Linked DNA regions of Oryzias latipes. The protein of the gene in region 1 binds, or shares a complex with, the protein of each later gene. Links are inferred from orthologs where the notes say so. Each region holds a gene or a part of one and is shown on either strand. Other genes may lie near its edges.

Region 1 (4,881 bases):
TCAGTGGGTATGCGCCACAGGTTGGCTGTGAGTTAGAAGTGAAGGAGAGATTCTGGAGTGAGTTGGATGAGGTCATAGAGAGTATCCCCAGAGGAGAGAGAGTTGTTATTGGAGCAGACTTTAATGGACATGTTGGTGAGGGCAACAGAGGTGATGAGGAGGTGATGGGCAGGTTTGGTGTGAAGGAAAGGAATCTGGAGGGACAGATGGTGGTGGACTTTGCGAAGAGGATGGAAATGGCTGTAGTCAACACTTACTTCCAGAAGAGAGAGGAACATAGAGTGACATACAGAAGTGGAGGTAGGAGTACTCAGGTGGACTACATCCTATGTAGACGAGGTCATTTGAGAGAGGTTAACGACTGCAAAGTGGTGGTAGGAGAGAGTGTAGCCAGACAGCACCGCATGGTGGTGTGTAAAATGACTCTGGAGGTCAGGAAGAAGAAGAGAGGGAAAACAGAAAAGAAGACCAAGTGGTGGAAGCTACAGAATGAAGAAACTTGTGAGGAATTTAGGCAGAAGTTGAGACAGGTCCTGGGTGGTCAGGATGAGCTTCCAGATGACTGGGAAACTACAGCAGAAATTATCAGGGAAACAGGTAGGAAGGTGCTAGGTGTGTCATCTGGAAAGAGGAAAGACGGTAAAGAGACTTGGTGGTGGAATGAGGAAGTACAGGAATGCGTCCAGAGGAAGAGGTTGGCTAAAAGGAAGTGGGATGTAGAAAGGACTGAGGAAGGTAGACAGGAGTACAAGGAAGCGCAGCGTAGAGTGAAGAGAGAGGTGGCAAAGGCCAAACAGAAGGCTTACGATGAGCTATATGACAGGTTAGACACAAAGGAAGGAGAGAAGGACTTGTACAGGCTAGCCAGACAGAGAGACAGAGATGGGAAGGACGTGCAACAGATAAGGGTGATTAAGGACAGAGATGGAAAGGTGCTAACAACTCAGGAGAGTGTACAAAAAAGATGGAAGGAGTATTTTGAGGAGCTGATGAACGTGGAAAATGACAGGGAAAGAAGGGAGGAAGATGTGGTTGTTGTGGAGCAGGAAGTAGCAGAGATTGAAAAGGATGAGGTTAGGAAGGCTCTGAAAAGGATGAAGAGCGGAAAGGCCGTTGGTCCTGATGACGTACCTGTGGAGGTATGGAAGTGCCTAGGAGAGACAGCAGTGGGATTTCTAACAAGGTTGTTCAATAGGATTTTAGAGAGTGAGAAGATGCCTGAGGAATGGAGGAGAAGCGTTCTGGTTCCGATCTTTAAGAACAAGGGTGACACGCAGAACTGCAGCAACTATAGAGGAATAAAGTTGATGAGCCACACAATGAAGCTGTGGGAAAGAGTAGTGGAAGCCAGGCTTAGGAAGAAGGTGGAGATTTGTGAGCAGCAGTATGGTTTCATGCCCCGTAAGAGCACCACTGATGCCATTTTTGCTTTGAGAATGTTGATGGAAAAGTACAGAGAAGGTCAGAAGGAGCTGCATTGTGTGTTCGTAGATTTAGAGAAGGCGTATGACAGGGTGCCGAGGGAGGAGCTGTGGTACTGTATGAGGTCGTCTGGAGTGGCAGAGAAGTATGTCAGAGTAGTTCAGGACATGTATGAGAGAAGTATGACGGTGGTGAGATGTGCTGTAGGTCAGACAGAGGAGTTCAAGGTGGAGGTGGGACTACACCAAGGATCAGCTTTGAGTCCTTTTTTGTTTGCTATGCTGATGGACAGGCTGACAGACGAGGTAAGACAGGAATCTCCCTGGACAATGATGTTTGCGGATGACATTGTAATTTGCAGTTAGAGTAGAGAGCAGGTGGAGGAACAGCTAGAGAGGTGGAGGTTTGCTCTGGAAAGAAGAGGCATGAAGGTCAGTCGTAGTAAGACAGAATACATGTGTCTGAACGAGAGGGATCAAGGTAGAAGCGTTAGGTTACAGGGGGATGAGGTGAAGAAGGTGCAGGAGTTTAAGTATTTGGGGTCAACAGTTCAGTGTGATGGGGAGTGTGGAAAAGAGGTGAAGAGGCGAGTGCAGGCAGGTTGGAGCGGGTGGAGGAAAGTGTCAGGAGTGTTGTGTGACAGAAGAGTGTCAGCAAGACTCAAAGGAAAGGTGTACAAGACAGTGGTGAGACCAGCTCTGCTCTATGGGTTAGAGACGGTAGCAGTGAGACAGAGACAAGAGGCTGAGATGGAGGTAGCGGAGATGAAGATGTTGAGGTTCTCCTTAGGAGTGACCAGGTTAGACAGGATAAGGAACGAGTACATCAGAGGGACGGCTCATGTTGTCTGTGTTAGGGACAAAGTCAGAGAAGCCAGACTGAGATGGTTTGGACATGTTCAGAGGAGGGATAGTGGATATATTGGTAGAAGGATGTTGGAGATGGAGCTGCCTGGCAGGAGGGCGAGAGGACGGCCAAAGAGGAGATACATGGATGTCTTAACAGAGGACATGAAGTTGGCTAATGTTAGGGTAGAAGATGTCCATGATAGAGTGAGGTGGAAAAGGATGATTCGCTGTGGCGACCCCTGATGGGAAAAGCCGAAAGAGAAAGAAGAAGAAACTCACGCTGCACTCCAGGCAAGCAAGTCCATGGGCTGCGTTCGGATGGCTGCTTTGGCGAAATTTTTGAGGATATCTGGTAGTTCTGGTGGAATGTTGATCTGCTCGGCACAGTACAGTGTGTCTGGAAGGGGCATGGCTGAAATACGTGCACTGTAGTTTGTCGGCCAGCAAGTACTAAACAAAAATAAGAAATTAATTGTATTAGTAATTTTTAGTTAGTTTAGTAGTTTGGTATGAATAACCCATTTATTTCCCTTCCAAATAAAAACATTGCATTAAACAAACAATAATTGAAGTGTTAACAAAATGCAGAAATCCCTTACTGACTACGTCACGACATCTTTGCAACATTTAGCATGTGCGTGCATCACACATACGTTTAAATTAAGTGATAATTATTTATAGTGCTGAGAAAAACAATCATATTACGTTACCTGGAAAAATATGTAGACTGTAAATAGTAATAAGCAAAAAATGCCTTAAAATGTTCACCAAAAAATCGTAATTGCTGTCCTTCTGATTTACGCCACAATTCGTGTCCGTAAACTGACAGTTGTATATTACCGTCGCATGGCAACAGAATTCTTCTTCTGTCGCTGAGGTCAATGGAGCCGCATGTGCATATCGCCCCCTGCTGTTTTAGAAATGTTACTACAGAATGTCATTGACCCTTGTGCTATCCTAGGCACTTTACCATTGGGAGTTGGGTCATCTAGACCCACTAGACCAGGGGTCGGGAACCTTTTTGGCCAAGAGAGCCATAAACGCCACATATTTTGAAATGTAATTTCGAAAGAGCCATACAATAATGTAGTGTCCCTTTCCCACACTGAGGCACGGAGACTTAACCTCTTTTAAGGTTCTTTATTCGGGTTACTGCAGACCGCGACAAACGCCGAACAATTAATTCAGCAACTCCTGAATCTCTCCCGCCGAGACGAGACGAGAGCGCGTCTCCCAACTTTATATTCCCCTGCTCCCGCTGCAGCCCTCCCCTTTCCCTTATTCGGCCCATAGCTGAACCCCATTGGTCCAAACTACCTAACAACAGGCTGAGCGACAGAACTGAGAGCCAATCAGCTCTCTGCTTGATGCGGTCAATGAACTCCAGAACTTTTAACGCGGCCCAACAGCCATCCAACTCAGTCCGCGACAATATGTTTAAAACTAAAATACAAGTGAATGTGTGCATTTGATGTAATTTCAACCTTTTTAAAGTACAATAAGTCTGTGGATTCTTTTTAATAACATTGTTATGCTGTTTCTAATAAATGATGAGTATTTCTCGTGGTAGTTTTGCTGATGGTCTAGTCTGGTTTACGTGGTGAGTTTCTGCTTCATGCAGGCGTTGAGACTTTAAACGTGATCTTAGGTTGGTATGAATGTTTTGTAGATGTGAGACAGACTGCTCACATGCGGACCTGGAGCCAAACACACACTCACACGCTGCAGTGAGTGACAGGCAGTGGGTTTTACCTATTTACAATCCCTGCGCGATTCACCTGCTGCCTGTCCCCACAACACCTCAGCCCCACCCTCTGCTTTCTCCCTCACACATCCCGTCCCCGCAACTGCGCGCTCTTTCTCAGAGACGGGAGCGCGCAGTTTTAGGCACGGCAATTCACAGGTTTCCGGGTGGTACAAACTCTGTGAATTAATAGACAATTTTAAACTTATACTAGTGCTGGCGCAGGAGCCAGTTTAGCTCATGCTGGTTTGCGGCGCCTTCCATCCGTGAAACCCGAGTTCGACTCCGGGCTGCTCCCTGTTCCCTTCTCTACCTCTGCTGGTTCCAAGCCCAGTTTGAGAAGGTTGCGTCAGGAAGGGCATCCGGCGTAAAACATTGCCAAATTTACCATGACCCCTGATGGGAGAAGCCGAAAGTGGAAGAAGACTAGTGCTGGCGCAGATTTGTCTCTCTAAGCACCGCTACTACTGCGCGCCTCTGCCATCGCATCGCGCACGAGAAGGACTGGTCTAATGAAGAAAAAAAATTTGAATTAAAGATTTGTCTGCGAGCCACATGTGACCATCAAAAGAGCCATATATGGCTCGCGAGCCTTAGGTTCCCGACCCCTGCACTAGACAGTGCTCTGAACCTTTTTATCTTCAATGATTTGTGATCTTCACTGGTGGATTACATGAAATCTTTCCACCTTTATCATGGTAGGGAGAACACATCAATGCAAGGGTGGGGTCATCTAAGATAGTACAAGGGTTAAACTGAACATGCATTATTCTTTGGCACAGTTCACTACTGATCTGAAGGTTTTTCTTTAGTGTAACTATAAGTACGTAGATAAAAAGTGTGTGTCTATATTCTAAAGGCCACAAT
Region 2 (5,118 bases), on another chromosome or scaffold:
CTAAATAACAAAAACAATATTAACTCATTTTTAATTTACTCCAATAAAATAAAATATCAAAATGTTAAACAAAGATATCAGGAAAAAAATAGCACTTTTTATTTATTTATCTTGTGATCCGTCATTGCTGTCATATTCCGGCAGTCTTCTGATGACTTTCTGGTTCCTTCCAATGACTTACTGGTCCAAAATTTCCATCATGCAGCCTCCTGCAATAAAGTGTCCAGTAAATACCAGCAAACGTTTGCTCCTTTCTGTACTTTTTGAACACACATTTTGATGTACCAAATATTTGAGAAAAACAACAAATACTTACCTTTTCTAGACCGATAGGAGATGGACTTGCTTTGATTTCTCTCATCTCTTCCTCCTTTTCTTCATGGTTGCGGTCAGTTATGTCTTCCTCTTTTTTTTCATGGTGAATTGTCTCATCGGGTTGAGCATCTTCACTCTGGAGCACTGACGAGGACCGGATGACATCTTCAAGTTTCTCAGTTTCCACATCATCAGTCTAAGAAAAAGTAAAGAAATTACATTTAAAAAACACATTTTTTGAAGAGTTTTAGGACTTTTAGCTCAACATAAGAACTATTAAAAGCATTTGTTTTATTAAAGCAGACTGCAATGTATTTCAAACTTGTATTATACAGCATTTTTTAAGAATCAATGTGCAGATCCTGCCTGTAACGCTGGAGTAGATTCCTTAATTCTGTCTCTGCAGTGTGCGTGACTCATCTGGAGTCGATTTTATCAGCAGCCTCCCTCATGCGCTGCCCATTTGCCTCCTGATGCTTAACTATTGAATAGTGCTGTCTGTCTCAGCGTCTGTCTCTAGTGTCTGAGCTAATCTGTGGCTCCTCAGAGGGGGGTTAAAGTTTTAGGCCTTTAAAGACCCACTCTGATGAAAACTGTGTTTTTAACATGTTGTTAAAAACAATGGCCTGATATTCAAAAGATGTCATGATGGCGGACATAATATGAAAAGAAAGTTAAGCTCTAAATTGTATTTTTAAGTACCTCTTTTTTCAAATTGTTGTTAATTGGGAGCAAACAAAAAAATGCAGTTTGAAAAAGATCATATTTGTTATGTATCCAGGTACGTCGGCGTTTTCTTCGTCCAAGCTGGCATGTGGTTCAAAACTGTACATCTGAACAGCTCCGGTATTGCTCACCATTTCTGTTGCACCAGTCATGTTAGGTGGGTGTGAGGGGCTGTAAGCTAACGGGAGAGGGTTTCAAAATACTGGTACCGGTAAGGGGGGAAGGGGTCAAACCACCCACGAATCAGAGGCATATTTCTGATGAACTACTACTGCTCTGTAGAAACTATGTCCCGGAAAACCACAGATTTTAGATTTTTGACTAAAATCTTCATAATTGATTGATACGGCACAATCATAGTCGCAGACGCGACGTTCACCTGAGCCCAGCAAAGCTGTGAATTAACCTAGCTGGGAACGTTTCCTGCAAATGGTGAGATGGCCAGCTTGAATTGTTCCTGTGACTAAACAAACCAGGCTATTGCAGTGCTAAAGAAAAAAAATAAAGAAATATTTTGAAATCTTTCCACTGGGTCCCAGTCAGCTTTAGGATTGATTCTAAAGTTCTTTTCATTTGTTTTTAAAAGTTTAAATGGAGTTGGCCCCTCATTTTTTTATTAGATTTACTTTTAGTTTATGACCCTCCTAGATCCACAGGTGGAGGTGTGCTGGTGGTCCCAAAAGTCAGAACAAAAACCCACGACGAGGCCTGATTTCAGTACTGTGGGCCTTCCATGTGGAACGTCTCCTCAGGCAGGTGAGGGCTTCATCCACTGTGGAGGTTTTTAAGAAAAAAATTAAAACTCATTTTTTTAGTAAAGCCTTTATGTAGTTTTTACTTGTCAACATGTTTTCATTAGATTTTATAAATTTTATCAGCAATTGATGCGCTTCATTTTGATTGTACCTGTGGGATGTGTATGTTTTGGGTCTGTATGTGTTTTAATGTTGTTAATTTTATTTTATCATTATTATTTTTACTATGTTTGCTATTTTAACTACTGTTTTTTATCTTACAATTATCTATTTTATTATGGAAAGCACTTTGAGAGGCTTTGTAGTCGAAAAAGTGGTGCACAAGTAAAGTTGAATTTGAATTACAAGACCACTGGGAATTCTGTGAAAATAGATCAAAAGATGGTTAGAGTAGGTCTTTAAAAATGTCAGCTATGCATTCAGGATGTTTAAAATCAAATACTTTTAAGTTAGCAATAGAAAGTGAGAAAGTACTTTCTCTGTGCCTTTTGATGCATTACTGATCTGCTCCTCTTCTGTGAGATTTTCCTGATGTGATGCTTCTTGGCTGCTTTTTTCCTGATCTTGATCCAGCAGAGCCAGACTTGCCTTCTTCTGCAAATACAAAGGTGATACAGGAACAAATCTAAGCTTACAAGTCTAAAGTTTACAAGTATACATCTTATATAAACCATAAAATGTTTAAACTTTCATTTTGTTTTAAGTAGGGCTCAGCTGTGTGTCAGTAGAGGTACAGACAGTTTCTGTGTTAAAGGTAAAAGGTGAGTCTTTGTTGTTGAGGCCCTACTTATTTTACATCCTGCAGCATAATGAGTTTACGTGCTCTAACACTGTTATCCTCTTAAAACCTGTTTGACGGCATGCAACAACATGGGTATAATCAGAAGCAGCTGGAGTGCAAAATCTAGATCCATCATTTTAAAAAAAAAATGACACTATGGTTGGTGTGTTTACACACTTTTCTAATAGTTTCTAATTCAGCACTGCATTTGCAAGACAACGTTTCAAAAAAATTATGATATATGCAATCACTTTATGTTTTTATAGCGTTTTGTAAATGGAAAACACGGAAAAGTAAACCACGTAATGCTTAAAAACACTGTAAATCAACAACTTTTGTGTTTGCATCCTTTAGTGCCCCCTGCTGGTGAAAACAACAAAACGACTCACCTTCTTCTCGTACAGCGTATTTGAGTTATACTTGTACAGCCAGTGGGCCAAATAAAGGATAGGGTCCACGGGTTTCCGTTCAACCACTTCAGCAAGTCCTTCAGCCAAACATTTCCCCAGATGTTTATTAAGATACTCCGAATCCATCATGCTACACGTTTTCTGATTGTTTATCTACAGAGCAAATATGGAGGCTCGGAGCTATTAAGGCAATAATGACGAACAAAAATGACCTGAAAGCGATTTTATGGATAAAACCTGCACAAATTAGCCAAAATTAACACGGAAATTACCGTATTTTACTGTTTTATGCGGACGGTTGCATCTCCGTGGTAACGGTCCCACACAGTTTAAAGTCTCCCAACCGTTTTTTAGTTCCGCTTTGTATTCGATGTCATTTCTATAATGCAACCATTGGTTGTTTCAGGCATTGTTATTACTACTATAAATATGATGATGGTGATGATGATTTTTATAATAATAATAATAATAATAATAATAATAATAATAATAATAATAATAATAATCCTCAATTATATTAATAACACCCCCAAAAAAAACTACAGACAAAAAGAAATATTTGTGAAAAAACCTCATTGTCATTCATACACACACCCATACACAGACGCACAAAATAGTATTTGTGAAACAGATTAAATATTTTGACGAGAAAGTGATCATTTTGAGATGTGTTTTAAATTGCTTTCCAGTAGTTAAACTCAATAAAACAATATTAAAATTCTTTTGCATCTTTACAAGTTTTGCTTCAATGTGTTATGAAGCAGAAAGAGACATCAGTCACAGAATGTCAGAAATTGGGGGAGGAATAATTCAAAAGACTATGTTAAAAAAGGAATTCATAAAACTAATAGTTATCTTAATCTAAATGGTGCAGATGCTACTACATAGTTATTTAATAAAAGCAGAAATAAAATTGTTGGAAGATTCTATATTCACACTCAAAGAAAAATGTGATTTGTGCATTTTTACGAAATTTTTACCACTAGGTGGCGCAGACCCTGTTAGTCTTACTGACTGCATAATAGATATATTAAAACATAATGTCCTATTGTACAGTCAATGGCTTTATCTACTGTTATGATAAACTGTTCTGTCCTTAAAAAGTGGGCCATTTGGTAATATGTTTAAGTAGAAAAATGGGAGAAATTGCCACTTATAATAACTGAGAAAGATACATGTCTAGAATGTCTTATATATATTTTTCATCTTTTTCCCCTCCATATTACATTACAATTTCTTGCACTGGGATTTTTGCAATTGTTTGGATTTTTTTTTGGTTCTGTTATTTACAGAGTGGCAGTCTCATTATAAAAAAAAACCTTGTTTTAAACAAACTGTTAGAAACAGACCTCAGTTGGAAACTCCCTCTTTATCCCTGTTTTATCGTTATATGACAGACAGGGCTGTGGGTGGTAGTTTGTCCCTCGTGGTGTTCCATAGGTTAATATTCATGGCCAGCACCTGTCTGTTGAGCTGTGATTGGCTCATGAGGCTGATAAATAGCAGCTGTGAGTTCCACCTAGATGCTGGTTTGGCCTTGGTGGGTGAGCTTGACATGTGGGCTTTTTTTTTTTTTTTTTTTTTTTTTTTTTTTTTTTTAAGCTAAAGCTTAATCATTTGAGTCCTTTTACAAAAGTTTTTTAAGCATTTGAGTTTGCAACATTTTAAATTCTATTTATATTAACAGGTGGTGGCATGAGTTCTGACCCTGGGGCATGAGCGGTAACATAAGGGTTTGTAAACATGTATTTGTCCCAGGGAGAACTAACTTATTTTTCTTTTTCCAGCAGAGTTGCCACTGCTGTTTTGCTTAGTGTTTTTAATGTTTAAATCAAGCTTGACACCCTTGCTCTTATCCATTTTTTTAAACTGTTTGCTCATTTTAGTCTCTTGGTGGTTGGACCTGGCTGGAGGTGGCTGCCTCCTCCCTTTATCCTTACGGTAGCTGGTGGGTGCCATGTGTAGTATTGTGTAAGGGGGATTTCCCCCCCCCCCCCATTTCCGGCCTACAAATTAGTGGTGTCCTGCTCAGTTGCACCTCTTCTGTTTTGTATTTTCTTTTAATCACTGTTTGGGTTGTGGTGTGTTTGTGTGAATTTGGGCCCTGAGCAGGTACTCCTGGTGAGGGTTT

The links. Proteins that work in one complex are often made in the same cells at the same time.
Region 2: ropporin-1-like protein (region 1) and DPY30 domain-containing protein 1 share a complex: the UniProt entries of both Homo sapiens proteins name them as parts of the axonemal radial spoke complex. The link is inferred for Oryzias latipes from reciprocal best matches to the Homo sapiens genes ROPN1L and DYDC1.

The regions. Positions count from the first base shown.
Region 1 is NC_019878.2:13,557,574-13,562,454, forward strand, and holds the start of ropporin-1-like protein, read right to left. Parts: upstream 3,134-4,881; 5' UTR 2,981-3,133; intron 2,721-2,980; 5' UTR 2,681-2,720; coding exon 2,550-2,680; intron 1-2,549. UniProt on the Homo sapiens protein: Functions as part of axonemal radial spoke complexes that play an important part in the motility of sperm and cilia. Important for male fertility.
Region 2 is NC_019877.2:16,025,871-16,030,988, forward strand, and holds DPY30 domain-containing protein 1, read right to left. Parts: upstream 3,328-5,118; 5' UTR 3,260-3,327; exon of another isoform or gene 3,200-3,259; intron 3,141-3,199; 5' UTR 3,117-3,140; coding exon 2,967-3,116; intron 2,391-2,966; coding exon 2,271-2,390; intron 512-2,270; coding exon 317-511; intron 210-316; coding exon 198-209; 3' UTR 78-197; downstream 1-77. UniProt on the Homo sapiens protein: Functions as part of axonemal radial spoke complexes that play an important part in the motility of sperm and cilia. Plays a crucial role during acrosome biogenesis.